Linked DNA regions of Canis lupus familiaris. The protein of the gene in region 1 interacts with the protein of each later gene in a biochemical or structural test. Links are inferred from orthologs where the notes say so. Each region holds a gene or a part of one and is shown in the gene's direction. Other genes may lie near its edges. The genes, in order: AHR and NR2F1.

What was found.
Region 2: the proteins of AHR (region 1) and NR2F1 form a complex in vitro, tested with the Homo sapiens proteins (2 studies listed by BioGRID). The link is inferred for Canis lupus familiaris from reciprocal best matches to the Homo sapiens genes AHR and NR2F1.

Annotation. Positions count from the first base shown.
Region 1 is NC_049235.1:31,823,255-31,827,074, forward strand, and holds part of AHR (aryl hydrocarbon receptor), read left to right. Parts: intron 1-377; coding exon 378-501; intron 502-1,765; coding exon 1,766-1,896; intron 1,897-3,312; coding exon 3,313-3,515; intron 3,516-3,820. UniProt on the Homo sapiens protein: Ligand-activated transcription factor that enables cells to adapt to changing conditions by sensing compounds from the environment, diet, microbiome and cellular metabolism, and which plays important roles in development, immunity and cancer.
Region 2 is NC_049224.1:15,764,177-15,767,996, reverse strand, and holds the end of NR2F1 (COUP transcription factor 1), read left to right. Parts: intron 1-2,457; coding exon 2,458-2,738; 3' UTR 2,739-3,514; downstream 3,515-3,820. UniProt on the Homo sapiens protein: Coup (chicken ovalbumin upstream promoter) transcription factor binds to the ovalbumin promoter and, in conjunction with another protein (S300-II) stimulates initiation of transcription. Binds to both direct repeats and palindromes of the 5'-AGGTCA-3' motif.

The DNA of each region.
Region 1 (3,820 bases):
TTTAAGCGTTAGAGAAGTCTAAGATGCTAGATTTTCAGACAAGGTTTTGTGAAAGAAGTAGGATTTAAAAGATCAATAAATTTAAAATGAGCAGAACTGAATGTGTTGCAATTAAGGAATGAGAAGATGACTTAGTTGACTGAAAAGCATTCAAGTAGGGAAGTGATGGTAGTTAACTTTTGGCTGACCAATTACAGTGTTCTGCTCGCTCTAGCTTTTCCTATCTTGGATGACTAGAGAGTTTTGCGACCATCTGACATACATTTGTCACTGCTGACAAGCACTCAGTAATCTAGCTACGTTTTGATATTAATTTAGTAAACCACGTTTTTTAAATCAGTACTTTAAAAAAGTCTCCTTGTATCTTTTTTCTTTAGTCTGATGTCATACATCAGAGCGTATATGAACTTATTCATACTGAAGACCGAGGTGAATTTCAGCGTCAGCTACACTGGACATTAAACCCTTCACAGTGTACAGACTCTGGACAAGGAGTTGATGGTAAGAATGTTTGCCAAAAGACAGTATGGTGATTTCTTGATAACAGTTCTCTGAAAGGAGGCCAGAACCTCTGGGAGATGTATAACTCTATGGTGAAGGTTGGAAAGAAGTAGGAAGACATTAGTCTGTGGTTGTAGGCTCCAGCCAGATAACAAAGAGCTTAGTGACCTAAGGAATATTTTGACAAATTATTGATGAATTTCAAGCAAGAAAGTGTTACCATACTCAGTAATATATTTTAATTTTTTTTAAAAAAATTATTTATTATTTATTTGATTGATTGTGCACAGGTGGGGGAAGTGACTGAGGGAGAGAGAGAGAAGCTGATTCCTTGCTGAGGAATATTTAGGGCTTGGTCCCACACCCTGAGACCACGACCTGAACCACAATAAGAACTGGATGCTTAACTGAGCCACCCAGACGCCCCTCTCAGTAATATATTTTATAAAAATCACATATAATATTTTGAGAGACTGGAAGGAATGTGTAAGGTTGATACTCAAGTATGTATAAATTGTTCTGTCTATCGAATGGACCAAATAAAAAAGCAAACTAGAATATGCAAGTATAAAAAAACTTTTTGTAATCCCTGGGTAGCTCAGCAGTTTAGCACCTGCCTTCAGCCTGGAGCGCGATTTTGGAGTCACGGGATTGAGTCCCACATCGGGCTCCCTGTGTGGAGCCTGCTTCTCCCTCTGCCTGTGTCTCGGTGCCTCTCTCTCTCTCTCTCTCTCTGTCTCTCATGAATAAATACATAAAATCTTTAAAAAAAAAAAACTTTTCCCTCTGCAGTGCTTTTAGAAGTCCAGGAAAGTGGGCAGCCCGGGTGGCTCAGCGGTTTAGCGCTGCACACAGCCCGGGGCGTGATCCTGGAGACCCGGGATCGAGTCCCACGTCAGGCTCCCTGCCTGGAGCCTGCTTCTCCCTCTGCCTGTGTCTCTGCCTCTCTCTCTCTCTCTGTGTCTCTCATGGATAAATAAATAAAATCTTAAAAAAAAGTCTATGAAAAGTGTTAAGAAGATAAAAGGCATTGGAAAATATAGATATTTTTGACAATAGAAATAAAAACAAAACTGAGTAAAGTTCTATGTAGTAAAAGTGATATTCTGTGCATTTTAGTTTCTTTTCATTAGCTACTCTTCTGAAAATGATTCTTTTTTGTATCAGAACAGAATCCAATTTAGAAATTAATGCAAATTTCAGCTCTCCAAACACTTGATTGTACGGCAAAATGCGTAAATTTGTGTTGCTATTATTTCTACAGACGCTAATGGGCTGCCACAGCCAGTAGTCTGTTATAACCCAGACCAGCTTCCTCCAGAAAACTCTTCCTTAATGGAAAGGAGCTTCGTGTGCCGACTAAGGTGTCTGCTGGATAATTCGTCCGGTTTTCTGGTAAGGTGCAAAGTCTTATGATATTGGCAATTTCTATTAAGTTTCAGAAAGCAAAAAAAAAAAAAGAAAACTGAAACTACTTTCTTTGGTTAGATTTGAGTTTGATATTTAAAACTCCTTTAAGAAATAATTTCATGAAGGAAAGTAACTTAAAAATTACTTTTTTCAGATTTTAGTATCTTCCATAACTCAAAATCTTAATCTTTTAGGATGTAGTAACAAAGACTGAGTGAAATATTATAGAACCTTGATCCTGCCTATTTTCAGGATTTCATAATATGTAAGACAGAGAACTTTGTAGCCCTTTTTTAGGAGCAAAATGCTTACCCTCTTTGGATTTAATCCTTGCCAGTCAGAAATATTATCATAGCTTTTTCTACACAGCTACAGTAATTGCTATCTAAAAATGGTTGTATATTCGTGATTGCAGAATTGTCATGTGGTATGAGCTGCCATTGTGTAGCTTGAACACCTGAACAAGATAATCAGGGAGCAAGCAGGTTTAGCAGGATACTCAGAGTGGAAGGAGTCTTTGTCCTTAAGATAGTGCACTCCAATGGGTACAGAAGAGAATATAAAGCATGATACATATTACTTTTGTGAATTATCAGGACTTTGAAATAGATAATAAAATCTTAAATATTAGCAGTTATTTTTGTTGATGTGTTTATTTGTGAAGGTAATTTTGCTGACCCACAGTTAGAATTGTGCTTTGAGGTAGTTTTCTTAGTACTGATGATCAATTAATATGTATTTCTGAGATAGAATTTGTATACTTGGGTCTTTTCTTCCTTGTGTTGCTGTCATATACTGAGGTCAGAATCATTGCTCAGCCTGGTTAATACACTTCTAAGCAACTAAATTGATCATTTTCACATTTAAGTTTCTTTGTTTCCTGTCTTCTAAAAGTGCCCTATATTGTTAGTAGAGTTCTACATTCTTTACATGATTTGATTATTCATTCTAGCATCTTAATAAAATTGCATTTTATCTCTATATGAAAGATTACCATAGGTTATGAAATAGACAGTGAGCTATGGACTATAGCTTATCTGTATTTGAAAATTAGTATGTACTTGATGACTTTATCACTATTCATTCATTGAGGAAATATGTACTGAATGCCATGGTGAGGGGAAGGAAGGTATTAATAACAGGGCAATTGTGAGCTCAGAGAAAGATACAGATAATTTTGTTGTGACAGCTCCCTTGTCAGCCCTTTTAGGATAGTGTTTGTACTACCTGTGGGGATAGTTGTTAATGGGCTTCCTGTGAAGAAAAGAATGAAAATAGCATTAGTCAGCCTCACGAACTTTTATGGAATTATCAAGACTACTGGAAATGGCCATGATTGAGCCTTTTGAAATGAACAATTTTTAAGCATTAATTTTAATGAACTGGTTTCGGTTTTCTAAGGCAATGAATTTCCAAGGGAGGTTAAAGTATCTTCATGGACAGAACAAGAAAGGGAAAGATGGTTCAATACTGCCACCTCAGTTGGCTTTGTTTGCAATAGCTACTCCACTTCAACCACCATCCATCCTTGAGATCCGAACCAAAAATTTCATCTTTAGAACCAAACACAAACTAGACTTTACACCTACTGCTTGTGATGCCAAGTAAGTAAAACTTTTTCAGTTTTGTTTCATTAAATATATATTTTGTTGCAGTAAATCTCTTAGCATATGAAACATAGAGTATACCTTGTAATGTTTATTATTATATGAGCGATTATTTCATACTCTTTCACTATAGCCTCTTAAAGTAATTTCATCAGGTTCACAGATCGTCTTAAAATTTTTTACAATACTTATCACAATTTCTGTATCATAAAGATGACTTGCTTATTTTAGTAATAAGATTCAGTATTCTGATGACATTTATTGTTGGTTTATTTTACATTTTTAACACATACAAACTTTGA
Region 2 (3,820 bases), on another chromosome or scaffold:
TACATAATTTCTTTTCCATATACTATAAAAGAAATATTGAGGGTTCCCACATTGACACTAGCACATAAAAATTGAGACATGGACTCACCTCCTTTTCTTATCTCGGGTGTATCTCGTAGAATGTAAATATGTCCTGCATTAACACCCCCCCCCCTTCCCTGCTCACCTAGCTTTGCTGCCATCACCAGCCAACTGATCTGAGCGCTCATACTGTCCGTGCATAGTTGGGGGGAGTCCTGTCCTGGGAGTATCCGGAGTAGGGATGAATAACTAGGGTGGGAATCCAGGCCTGAAGTAGGACTCCTGCTGGAGGGAGGCCACAGAGCTGGCCGGCTGGCACCTGGCAGCCAGGCCCAGCTACAGGCATTCTGCCTTCAAAGGAGGAAAGAAATCCAAGCAGCCAGCACAAGGCCCAAGCAAGCCTTTCCTGGGCTTCTCTCTCTTGGAGCGGCCTAGCTGGGAGAAGGGTAGTGTCCTTGCGCTCTGAGGGCCCTAATGGTAAATATCAGATAAATATTTTACAGACCTGAGGGGATGCCATATGGGTCTTTAAAAAAAAAATCTGCTGGGGTACCAGTGGGTCCTTTTCATACTGCATTGTCTGAGGCTGAAAGGGATCCTGTGGCATAATGGGCAGATAATGCATGTAAAGCAAGATATATGTAAATATGAGTCTGCATGGTGGCCATTCAGCAGGGCCAGGTTAGCAAGCAAGGCCAAGGGCAGACCTGGGGGGCCCCCTCTCTCAGCAACGAAGCCCCAAAGTGCTCCTGCCCTGGCCCTGCTAACCATAAAATCTCAATGGCTTGCCAGGTCAGGCCAGTGTGGATGCACCCGAGTGGCTGGCAGGAGTAATTAGACATCTGAGAGGAACCCATTCTGGATCTAGGGTCAAAGGAGACCTGCCTCAGAAGTTCTTGAATTAGCACTAGTTTTATTTGTATTTTTGCTCAAGGCCATTGCCTTGTAGATGAAGGTGTTAGACTGCTTTGTAAATCCCAGTTCTTGAAATAGAAAGACATAAAGCTCAGAAACTCAGAAGCAGACACGGGCTTCACTTTGAATCGTTTGGTGTGACTTCTTAGGGTCACACTTGCCCATTCACGATTATATAACGTCCTTTTGGGGGCATTGCCATGCATGAATTTCTTCCCAGATCTATATATTAGCAAACTCTGCCTTTGATCTCGAGTCAACCTCCTGACTGGCAAAGGGCTCCTCTGTGATCTTCCTGTTTTTTAAAAAATATTTATTATTAATATAACAAATAACAAGGGTGTTTGAACTAAGAGAAGAAGCTTTCACTTCATTCCTTTCATTCCACCTTCTCCTCCATTTCTTTGCCTTTAGTTAGTTGATACAGTATAAACTGCTGTCTTGAAAGATTTTTAGGGGACCATGAGGAGCCCTGGTTGATAGGAGATAAACACACAGGTCTTAAGATGCTGTCATTGTGTGTAAGTGCCTTCTCCCCCTTGGTCCTGTGACAGGAAGCCTGTCTCCCCAAATCCCCCCCTCAACTCCCCACCTCCCAGTTTGGAAGCAGCAACAGCAGCTGCCTCCAGCCCAGCTTTGTGTCTGATCGTGGAAGATGTCTCCTTTCCGCAGCCTGGAGTAACTGAGCCATATTCCTTCTGATTATTATACAGCTTACAGAGATGTGACCAATTTTCAATTACTTGATCTAAAGCACAGATAGAAGCGTACACTCTCACCAAGGATTTGCTGCAGAGTTCTCGCTTGCTCAGATAGTGGATCTCAAATCCTGTACTGCTAGAGCATGGGCTCGATCTGATTTCCCGCACTGCCAGCCCTTGATTCCTTACCACCACCACCACCAGCACCACCACCGCCCCTGCCCCCAGGTGTTTGTTCACTATACAATCTAGGTTCTCCTTGAGGATTTTGGTTGGGGTCCTTTGGGTTTGAGAGGGAAGACTCCAGGAAGCCTGTAAGAACTGCCTCCAGGCTACGTATTTCTTCAGGGCTTCTGCACACCCCAAAATCAGGGGCAAAAGGGGCAAAAGTCCTCCCTTTAATGAGCACAGTGGAAAGATGCTCCCCTGCAGGCGGAGGACAGGTTGCTTCGCACAGCAAACATGGCTCCAGCATCGTACATTATTTAATCCAAAGGTGAAAGAGGAAAAACAAAGGGACTAGAGAGGTTGCTGCCTCTGCATGTGTGTTCTTCTGTCTCCAGCTCCCCTAGGCTTGGGCGAGGGTGGGGAGTTGTTGATTTATTTTTATTTGTATTGGGGGCCGAGGGGAGGGAATGGTGAGGAAGGCTTGGGGAGGTATGGAAAGGAGGATTTTTCCCCCCTCTTCCCTCCTATTTCTTTTCCCCCCTCTTACAACCTAAAAAAATTTTTTTCCCTCATGGTTTGTTTGTGCCTTTGCTCTTCACTAACCTGTGTGTGCCCTCCCCCTCTTCTCTCCTTCTTGTGGCTGCACGGCCAGACGCCTGTGGCCTGTCGGATGCCGCCCACATCGAGAGCCTGCAGGAGAAGTCGCAGTGCGCCCTGGAGGAGTATGTGAGGAGCCAGTACCCTAACCAGCCCAGCCGCTTCGGCAAACTCCTACTGCGACTGCCCTCCCTGCGTACCGTGTCCTCCTCGGTCATCGAACAGCTCTTCTTCGTCCGTTTGGTAGGTAAAACCCCCATCGAAACTCTCATCCGGGATATGTTACTGTCTGGGAGCAGCTTCAACTGGCCTTACATGTCCATCCAGTGCTCCTAGACCTTGGGCGCTTCCCACCTGCCCCCGCCTCCCTAGAGACTCAGAGGACCGGCGGGGGCCATGGACTCCAAAGCTGCGGGGACATCCGGGCGGCTGTTGCAGGGTGCAGCCAGGCAGGGGGGAGGTGGGCCGGGCCGACAGGAGCAGCCCACCCTGCAGAAATGCAACCCGAGCTGCAAACCAGGAGAAAGAGACTCTCTTTAGGATCAGATCTGTGAACATGTTGGAAAGGAAAGAAAAAGGACCTTGTGTCTGGTGAGAAAAGGAAAAAAAAAATTGGAAGAGAGGACCATGAGAATTTTAATAAAACAGAAGGAGACTAATGGACCTTCCAGGATTTATTGTGGACGGATGTGGATATATTCTGTACAGAAAACAACACACATGGAAGTGGACTGAATTCTATGTAGAAACACACACACACACACACAAACACACACACCCCAAACATTGTTATTCATTTTGTAAAATACTAGTCTTTATTTTCATTTTTTTGTAAAATTTAAACATCGTATGCACATAAAAAAAGGAAACAAGAATTAGGGGAAAATAACATTTTCCAAATAATTATAAAAAAATTGTCCTGTGTCTATGTATCTATATCTGTTTTGTATTTTTTTCTGGTTCCAAACCAGATTTCCTGTGATTCTATACTAATAATTTTTGATATAACCCTTTGCTTCTTATAATGAGTGCGATATATGTTGTCGAGGCTGTTCTTCAAGAATTAAAATTGAAGTGAAAATTTAAACAAAAAATAAAAGAATTTAGCAAAACCCACGTGTCTGGTTACTTGACAGATGTCCTGAGTGCAAGAGAACCCTCCCATTAATTGCCATTCCAATTATGATTAGAACGGGAGGTGAGGGTGGAAACTTCTAAGGTCCATTACGAAGTTGTCTAGATTTATTTCCTCAAACCAAGCCGCCGCCTTGGTTTTGTAAATGCAGAGGGTCAGGCTCTGTGTGGGCTGGGACGGGCAGGGAGAGGGCAAGGCACCTTGGTGGCTCCCAGCAGCTCTCGTGACCTTGTGGATGGTTGGTGCCCTGCACAGAGCCAAGCGGGGAGCCCGGAGTAGGCTC